Callithrix jacchus: one gene and its partner. The protein of the gene in region 1 binds, or shares a complex with, the protein of each later gene. Links are inferred from orthologs where the notes say so. Each region holds a gene or a part of one and is shown on either strand. Other genes may lie near its edges.

The links.
Region 2: the proteins of BANF1 (region 1) and EMD are in contact, whole or in part, in a crystal structure (PDB 7NDY), measured with the Homo sapiens proteins. The link is inferred for Callithrix jacchus from reciprocal best matches to the Homo sapiens genes BANF1 and EMD. Residues at the interface, in NP_001137457.1 of Homo sapiens: Arg37, Phe39, Gln48, Val51, Leu52, Lys53, Asp55, Leu58, Glu61, Trp62, Asp65; in NP_000108.1 of Homo sapiens: Pro22, His23, Gly24, Pro25, Val27, Ser29, Thr30, Arg32, Leu33, Tyr34, Lys36, Lys37, Glu40.

Annotation. Positions count from the first base shown.
Region 1 is NC_133511.1:123,078,827-123,082,813, forward strand, and holds BANF1 (barrier-to-autointegration factor), read left to right. Parts: upstream 1-1,402; 5' UTR 1,403-1,907; intron 1,908-2,100; exon of another isoform or gene 2,101-2,228; intron 2,229-2,571; 5' UTR 2,572-2,587; coding exon 2,588-2,710; intron 2,711-2,962; coding exon 2,963-3,109; 3' UTR 3,110-3,480; downstream 3,481-3,987. Other genes in the region: putative RNA-binding protein EIF1AD, read right to left, coding at 200-308, 446-532. UniProt on the Homo sapiens protein: Non-specific DNA-binding protein that plays key roles in mitotic nuclear reassembly, chromatin organization, DNA damage response, gene expression and intrinsic immunity against foreign DNA.
Region 2 is NC_133524.1:150,171,615-150,175,895, forward strand, and holds EMD (emerin), read left to right. Parts: upstream 1-1,479; 5' UTR 1,480-1,612; coding exon 1,613-1,694; intron 1,695-1,818; coding exon 1,819-1,926; intron 1,927-2,074; coding exon 2,075-2,152; intron 2,153-2,365; coding exon 2,366-2,499; intron 2,500-2,934; coding exon 2,935-2,981; intron 2,982-3,062; coding exon 3,063-3,390; 3' UTR 3,391-3,797; downstream 3,798-4,281. UniProt on the Homo sapiens protein: Stabilizes and promotes the formation of a nuclear actin cortical network. Stimulates actin polymerization in vitro by binding and stabilizing the pointed end of growing filaments. Inhibits beta-catenin activity by preventing its accumulation in the nucleus.

The DNA of each region.
Region 1 (3,987 bases):
CACCTCCCAGGCTCAAATGATTCTCAGGCCTCAGCCTCCTGGGTAGCTGGGATCACAGACACGTGCCCAACTAATTTTTAATTTTTTGTAGAGACAAGGTCTCATTATGCTGCCCAGGCTGATCTCAAACTCCTGAGCTCAAGCGATCCTCCCACCTCAGCCTCTTAAAGTGCTTGGATTACAGGAGTGATCCTCTTACCTCTCTTGATCCAGATGTTCTTGCGGTATTTGGAGGGCATGCTCACAAGGAAACGCTGCCCTTGGGCTGTCTCCACCTCATGCAGATTGTTCCCTGGAGTCCTGAGTACCTGGTTCAGGAGAGACCAGGAATCAGCCTCATCAGTCAGATCAAACACCCTCTCAGACACACTGCACCCTACCCCTGCCCCAGGGGCCCTACAGCGGTTGGGGGGGAGCAGAGCAGCTTGTGCCCAAAGCCACTCACCCGAACAATCTGCTGCCGGTCAGAGGGCACCATGTGCTCCCCCAGCACCTCCTTCACCACATGCTTCCTCTTGGTGGCCTGAGACATGCTTAAGTTGTCCCAGGGTACTTAGAGATGCAGAGACTGTCAATTCCTCCTCCTGAGTTCCTTGGACGGCAGGCTCAGAACCCAGGACTATTCTGAAGATGGGGTGGAGCTTTTTACTGAGGAGTGACACAGTGTCTTGGTTAAGAATATGGGCTCTGAAGTCTTAACTGCCTGGATTCAAATTCTACCTTGGTTCATTTCCTAACTATTCAACTTCTCTAGGTCCCAGAAAAAATAACAGCTAACTCAGCATTGTTACAGAATGGGACAACACAGTGCATGTTATATAAAAGTAACTCCTGCAATCATAACTACTGGTATAACATAAAACTATACACATGCTCCAGAGAAATCACCCTGGCAACCTCTCTGGAAGGAGTCTGAGATAAACCATATCTTTCTCAACACGTTTGTACACCCCAAGTCTAGCACAATCACACAACAGAGAAGTTCAGTCTGGCAACACACTACAGCCGGAGACAAATTAGGTGGCCACCGCGACGGTCCAAGCCAGGAACTAGTTAACGAAAGGTGGAGGTGAGCAGGCTTGCCTGCGACATTTGCATGTTTGACTTTCTTACTTAGAAGACGAGGGCCAGACTGACGGTTTCCGAAGGAAACATCGATATGTCATATCTAGTTGCCGTCCTCCTTCCTCCTCCCCGTCTATCCCGGAGAAAAGACCCTCGGAAAAAGACCCACACTTAAGTCTGTGGCCCTCGGCTCCCAGGAACGCTGCCTGAGCAACCCCGCTGTCCAGGCCGGACGCTGAGAGAATTGTCCGCGACTCACTTGAAGGCTGAGCCAAGAAAACACAGTAAAGGAACTTGCTGACGGCCGCGACGGTAGCGTGAGCTTAAATCCAGGTCTCCAATGTTTTCAGTTCCCTCCAGTCCCACTGCTAGGAGGGTGACGTGAGTTTGAGTCGGATCTCTTCGAAAAACTGTACTTCCGGCGCTGTCTCGGAAGCCTCCCGGCCACCCGTCCCCTCCCTTGTCCGTTCTTCCAACTCTTCCCCACGCCAGTCGGTCAAGCCTAAGTCCTTGAGTTCCGGGTCCGGGCAGCAGAGAAAGAAAATCCTTTCTCTGGAGGCCTTTCTTCCTCGAGTAGCGGGACCTTACAAGGCAGCAGGACTTCCCGCGAAGGACCGGAAAGGAGGACCTACTACAGAGGCCGTCGAGGTCCGGGACGCCTCAACTCTATAGCCCTAACTGGCTAGAAGTGCCCAACGTGGAGGGTTTTTTTTTTTTTTTTTTTTTAAAGGACGCTCTTGAGGCGACCCGGAAGCGGAAGTGGAAGAAAGTTCTAGTGGCTTGAGGTATCGGCGGGAGCGGCCGGGTGGCGGGAGGAACCGTTACGGGAACTGAAGCTGCCGGTGAGCGTCAGCTGCAGAGCAGGGCCCTGGCTAGAGGCCAGATGGGTTGCGAGGAGAATGGGATGAGAGGGGCCGCAGGCGCTGGGGTGGGCCCTTGGGGAGAGCTTAGCCGCGCTGCGGGGAGGGGGCGGGGCGCGGCGCGTGGGAGCCGGCCCGCGGGAGGGGGCGGGCCGCGGCGCCGCGCGATGGGGGCGGAGCTGGGGCGCGGCTTGAACCCCGCGGGCTGGAGGCGAGTGTGCGGAGCGCTCGATTTGCGCTTCGCTCTGTGGGTAGAGAGACCCTTTGGTTAACTTTCCATGCCAAGTGACCGGTCCAGACAGGGTCAGTGCCTTCTTGGCTCAGCCAAGGTCACAGAAGGAGTGACAGCTTCTGGGCGGCCCTGGCTACTGACTCTGGGAATCTTTCCACTTACCCGTTTGCGCCACCTGTTAGGCAGGATCGTTTTTCCTCTGGGCAAGATCAAAATCCAGGTCCTGCAGGAAGAAACTTCTCTTCAGAATAGTAGGGAAGGCTCCCTGGACCTCAGTTTTCTCCTTTTTTGATGAGGGATATCGAGCAAGCCACCATAATGCCTGGCTTAGCTTCCTCTTACTATGAGATTGCTAGTGGGCCCTTAGGAGTTCCAGGTCTTCAACCCTAACGTGTCTTTTTTTGGGATTTCTAGATTAAGCCTGATCAAGATGACAACCTCCCAAAAGCACCGAGACTTCGTGGCAGAGCCCATGGGGGAAAAGCCAGTGGGGAGCCTGGCCGGGATTGGTGAAGTCCTGGGCAAGAAGCTGGAGGAAAGGGGCTTTGACAAGGTGTGGGGTGGCAGCGTGTACCTGGCACAGGCTGGGAGTGGGAGGGAAGTGAGTCCATCTGCTGTGGGGTGGGCGGTGGGGCATAATCTGAAGAGACTGCCAGAGCCTGGGCACCTGGTAGAGAGGAGATGGGGGCAAAACCCGCCCTGCTTCCTGGGCTTGTGTGCTCTGAATGGCACGGGAATGACCGATTTACTCTTATCCCTCACTGAACACTGAGCAGTATGCCCCTTCCTTTTCTCTGTCTCTCAGGCCTATGTTGTCCTTGGCCAGTTTTTGGTGCTAAAGAAAGATGAAGACCTCTTCCGGGAATGGCTGAAGGACACTTGTGGTGCCAATGCCAAGCAGTCCCGGGACTGCTTTGGATGCCTTCGAGAGTGGTGTGATGCCTTCTTGTGATACTCTCTGGGAAGCTCTCAATCCCCAGCCCTCATCCAGAGTTTGCAGCCGATTAGGGACTCCTCCCCTGTCCGCTACAGAGGAAAAGATTGCTATTGTCGTACTCACCTCCGATGTACTCCAGGGTCTTTGGGAGTTTCCTCCCCTAACCATTTCAACTTTTTTGGATTCTCGCTCTTGCATGCCTCCCTCTTCCTTTTTCCCTTGCCAGTTCCCTGATGACAGTTACTGGCTTTCCTGAATGGATTCCTGGCCCTATCCCTCACCCCCACCCTCACTTTCAGTCCGTTTGATACCATTTGGCTCCTTTTTTGGCAGAACAGTCACTGTCGTTGTAAAGTTTTTTAGATCAATAAAGTCAGTGGCTTTCATGACTGGGCTTTGTGCATTGAAAAGCAAGTGGGCTGGGAGTTGCCTCTCCTCCAGGGACTGACCACGTCTCCCCCTCTCCTTATCAGTACAGACCGAAACCGGCAGCTTCCCTTCCACTCCCAGAGGGCAGCCACCCTAGCCATGTAGATCTCAGGCAGGTGACTTGGAGTGTCTCAATCCCCAAGTGATGTGGGAGAGAGTGTGGGTGGATCTTTTCCTGGGAGCCAGATGGACTGTGCTCCACATGTCAGTTAAGTCAACAGCTGGGCTAGGCAGCACCTGGTGGAAAAGTCAGTGGGAGTCAGAGGTACTTGACAGAGGGTGGACCGGATGCGGGTGCGAGTTCACCTACCAGTCATCATATCTGCTTTCCCGGCCTCTGGCAAGGGTAGGTAGGGGGCTTGCCATCTTCCCTGATCTCTTAGGGAGGAGAAAGAGCACAGGCATTACAGCTGGAAGCATGAGAAGGAAGTACACCTCAGTGCATTTTAGCCCTTTCTATTTGT
Region 2 (4,281 bases), on another chromosome or scaffold:
AGCCTGGCCAACATGGTGAAACCCCATTTCTACTAAAAGTACAAAAAGTAGCCAGGTGTGGTGGCATGTGATTGTACTCCCAGCTACTAGGGAGGCTGAGACAGGAGAATCACTTGAACCTGGGAGGTGGAGGCTACAGAGACTCAAGATTGCGGCTCTGCACTCCAGCTTGGGTGACAGAGCGAGACTCTCTCAAAAAAAAAAAAAAAAAAAAAAAAAAAGAATATCACCTCTTCTCCATTCTCCGTAGGGCAGCCCTTATCTGATCAAGGTCCTGGGAATCCTAGCCACAGTCCAGGCTCCTGAGCAGGCCTTGGCAGCCCTTCCATAGCTCGACACCCACGTCTGCCCCCTGCCGGGCTATGCTGGGCTCAGGGGCCATTCCGACAGAAGAGGAAGCCCCACTTCAGCTCCCGCCAGTGCCCCGGGTGAATGAACGACATGAAGCGTTAGGCTGGACACACGTCATCTCTGCACACATCGCACAGCGCCCTCTGTCCGCGCTCACTGGCGTGCTCGCTGGCTTGCCCGGGCCCCTTCGAAGGCTGCTTGCTCCTGGAGTGCCGGCGGCCTCCTGGCCCAGTGCCCCATTTCCTCCCGGGTGGAGCGAGGTAGGAGAAAAGGAAGGAGGGAGGCGGTGGGAAGCAGCGAGCATATGTGCACGGGCGACAGCCCTGCAGACTGGGAAGGTGGGCCCGTGGCAGGGGGTCTGCGAGGACCGCGTAGGCGCGGGCCTTGCCCCACAGCCGCTTCCCAGGTGATGCGCACACAAAGCTCCCTCAGTAGTGCCTAGCCCGGGGCCGGCGCTCCCTTAGGGTTCAGACCCTTCCCGCCGCTGCTGGGGCGGCCGACCCGGATGCGGCCGGGGAATCCTACGCCCTGGGGCCACGGGAAAGGGGACCAGGGCGTAGAGAAGGGATGTGCTGGGACGGTGGGGAGCCCAAGTGACTTAGGGACCAGAGCCACCGCTAGCGCCCACTTAGGCCGCTCTCACTTCCCGGCCGGCAGATGCCGGGTGTTAGACACACAGGCCCCGCCCCTCTCTACCGACTGGCTCACGCACGCCTCAAGGTGACGTCTAGGCTCCCAGCCGCACCGCCCAGACTCCCGTGCGGGCCCCACCCCCAACAGCTCCGGGCGTTAGTGACGTACGGACTCGCGACCCCGCTCGCTCCCACCGCGACACCTTCTGCTCCGCTCCCGCGCGGGCCCCGCCCCCTCCATCGCTAGCCAATCCGTGTGTTTGTGACGTTGGGCTTGCGGCCCCGCCCACTCCCACCGCGAGACTGATTCCCACTGTCCTGACTCTCGGCGCGGGCCCCGCCCCGTCCGCCGCTAGCCAATCCGTGCGTTTATGACGTTTGGACTCACTGCCCCAGCCTCCCAGCTCCCAAGGCCCGGCCGTTCTGCGCCTGCTGCTCCCGCCGTTAAGCCCCTCCCCGCACAGCGCGCGCAGCCTGCGGAGCCCGAGGCCGTGACGAGACAGTGATTTGGCTGTGACGCGAGCGCGATCGCTCCCGAGGCGCTCGTGCCGCCCCCGCCGTGATCCTCGGCAGCCGCTGCTCGGCGGGTTTTGGCAGGGGCCCGGCTTCCGCCCGCGCCCGCACCCGCCATGGACGACTACGCGGGTCTTTCGGATACCGAGCTGGCCGCCGTGCTGCGCCAGTACAACATACCTCACGGGCCAGTTGTCGGTACGCGGCGGCGGGCAGGACCTGCCCCCGGGCCCCCTCCCCGCGCTCTGCCCCGCGCCCTCCCCGCCACCCTACCCGCGCGCCTTCCCCGGCTTGTGGCCCTGACCGCCTCGTGTCCGGCCAGGGTCTACTCGTAAGCTTTACGAGAAGAAGATCTTCGAGTACGAGACCCAGAGGCGGCGGCTCTCGCCCCCCAGCTCGTCCGCCGCCTCCTTCTCCTATCGCTTCTCTGGTGAGAGCCTCGCTTGTGGGGACCGGGCCTGGGATGCGGGGAGATCGGGGTCGCGAGGGTGTGGCAGGGGCGCCGGTCGAGAGCGGCACCGGGGAGAGGGGAGGGAAGCCTGGGGGGCAAACAGTTCTGTCGCCTCCCTTCAATCCAGACTTGAATTCGCCGTCAGTGGATTCAGATATGTATGATCTTCCCAAGAAAGAGGACGCCTTACTCTACCAGAGCAAGGGTAAGGCAGGGGTGGGGTGGGCACGCTGGCACGTTCACCTGACTGCGTCAGGGACCCCGCTCACAGGGAGGACCTGAGACCTCAGCCCCAACCACTCCAGCAGCCTTAGGAGGGAGAAACTGTCACAGGTCCCGAAAGAGATTCAGATTAGGGCCAGCAGGCCAGGTGGGGCACACCGATGCCCCCTCTGCTACCGCTGCCCCCCTTCCCAAGGCTACAATGACGACTACTATGAAGAGAGCTACTTAACTACCAGGACTTATGGGGAGCCCGACTCTGCGGGCCAGTCCAGGGGCTTCCGCCAGTCTGCGACTTCACTCCCAGATGCTGACACTTTCCACCACCAGGTGAGCTGGCTGGCAGGTGCCCTGTACTTGAGTACAATCTAGGGGATGGCGGCTGTGTTTGGATAAATCCAGGGGGCCACTGGATACAAATGGTGGCTTCTGTGCTTCTGGGGAGACTGGCTCAGCAGACGCCTGTTTGGCCAGGTCCCTACTTTGGGGAGCCATCAGAACTGTGACTAGAGCACCCTGGTCTGCAATCTAGGCTCAAGCTTTTCCTGAGACTCCTGGGGGCAAAAGGGAATAGCAGGGCATGAGCACAAGTGACAAGACCCCACAAACAAAAGACTGAACACCAAGAGCCATTCGGGAGGGTGTGGGTCCCTGGCCTCTAACCAAAGGTCAGAGGGCACCAGCTGGGGAAGTTTGGACTGAGGGATGTGGCAGGGCCATGGTGGCCCTGCCAGTCGGTCCACTCACCCTGACTCTCTTCTGCAGGTGCGTGATGACAATCTTTTGTCTTCTGAAGAGGAGTGCAAGGATAGGTACGTAGAGGGCAGGCCCAGGAACAGGGACTGGTTCTGCACCCAGGCTCCTGGCCCACCTGCTCCCCTCTTTTGCCTCAGGGAACGTCCCATGTACGGCCGGGACAGTGCCTACCAGAGCATCGCGCACTACCGCCCTGTTTCAGCCTCCAGGAGCTCCCTGGGCCTATCCTATTATCCTACCTCCTCCTCCACCTCTTCTGTGTCCTCATCTTCATCTTCCCCTTCATGGCTTACCCGCCGAGCCATCCGGCCAGAAAAGCATGCTCCTGGGGCTGGGCTTGGCCATGATCGCCAGGTCCCGCTCTGGGGCCAGCTGCTGCTTTTCCTGGTCTTTGCGATCTTCCTCTTCTTTGTTTACTACTTCATGCAGGCGGAGGAAGGCAACCCCTTCTGGAGGGAGCCCTGAGGGTCTGGGCTTCAGAGCCAGCTCTTCTGGGGAAGTCCTGGCTGATGGCCTTAGCAGTGAGGGTGGGGGTGGGGGTGGGGGTGGGGGCTTTTGTGTGTGTTCTCGCTTGGGGGGCGCTGGCCCAGCCCAGAGTAGTGCTTGCTCCCCTGCCTTGTCCCACCAGGGAGGCAGCAGACTCAAGCCCTCCATGATCTGGGGGACCTGGGTGTGCTTTCCTCTCTAGCCTCCTGGCCCTGCTTGCCTGTAACCCTTAGGGTCCAGGAGGGCAAGGCCTCGCTCCATCAGAGAACATGGTTATTGTTGTTGTCATGCATGCCTCCTTTTAGTTGTCATCTTGAGGGGATTAACCAAAGGCCACCATGACTTTGTTTTCGTGGACACACAATAAAAACCCCATTTATTTTTAATGTGTTGACTCTTCCTGGAGGAGAGGGTTGGGTTCCCATGGCAAGGGCATCTGGCCTTGCTGGGTCTGCATTTTGGCTTTGGTCTGGGGATAGGAATCAATTGCTACCCAGAAATGTTTGTGTTTTGTTTGGGAGTTTTATTCCCTGACTCATTCCCCAAAGCACGTGTAACTGCTTATACATATAATTGTGGTACAACAAGGTATATACAGAGAACCCACTTGGAAATTCAGGCAAAGCTGCATGCACGCCACCAGCAGTCTGCGGGTGTTTTAACTGGAAAAAGCTGAAGTCCACCCGATTGTCCAAAGGCATGGGGACAGAAAGAAGATGAGGCGTCTCATTGGCAGATCATCCTTGGCTCCTGGAACTGCTGCTTGTTTACCATGGGAGAAAAGCTCCAAAGGCCGCATCATCCCTGGGTGGTAGAATTCACCTGCCTATATTCTCACTTAACTCCCAGATTTTCTGCCCTGGGTATGTA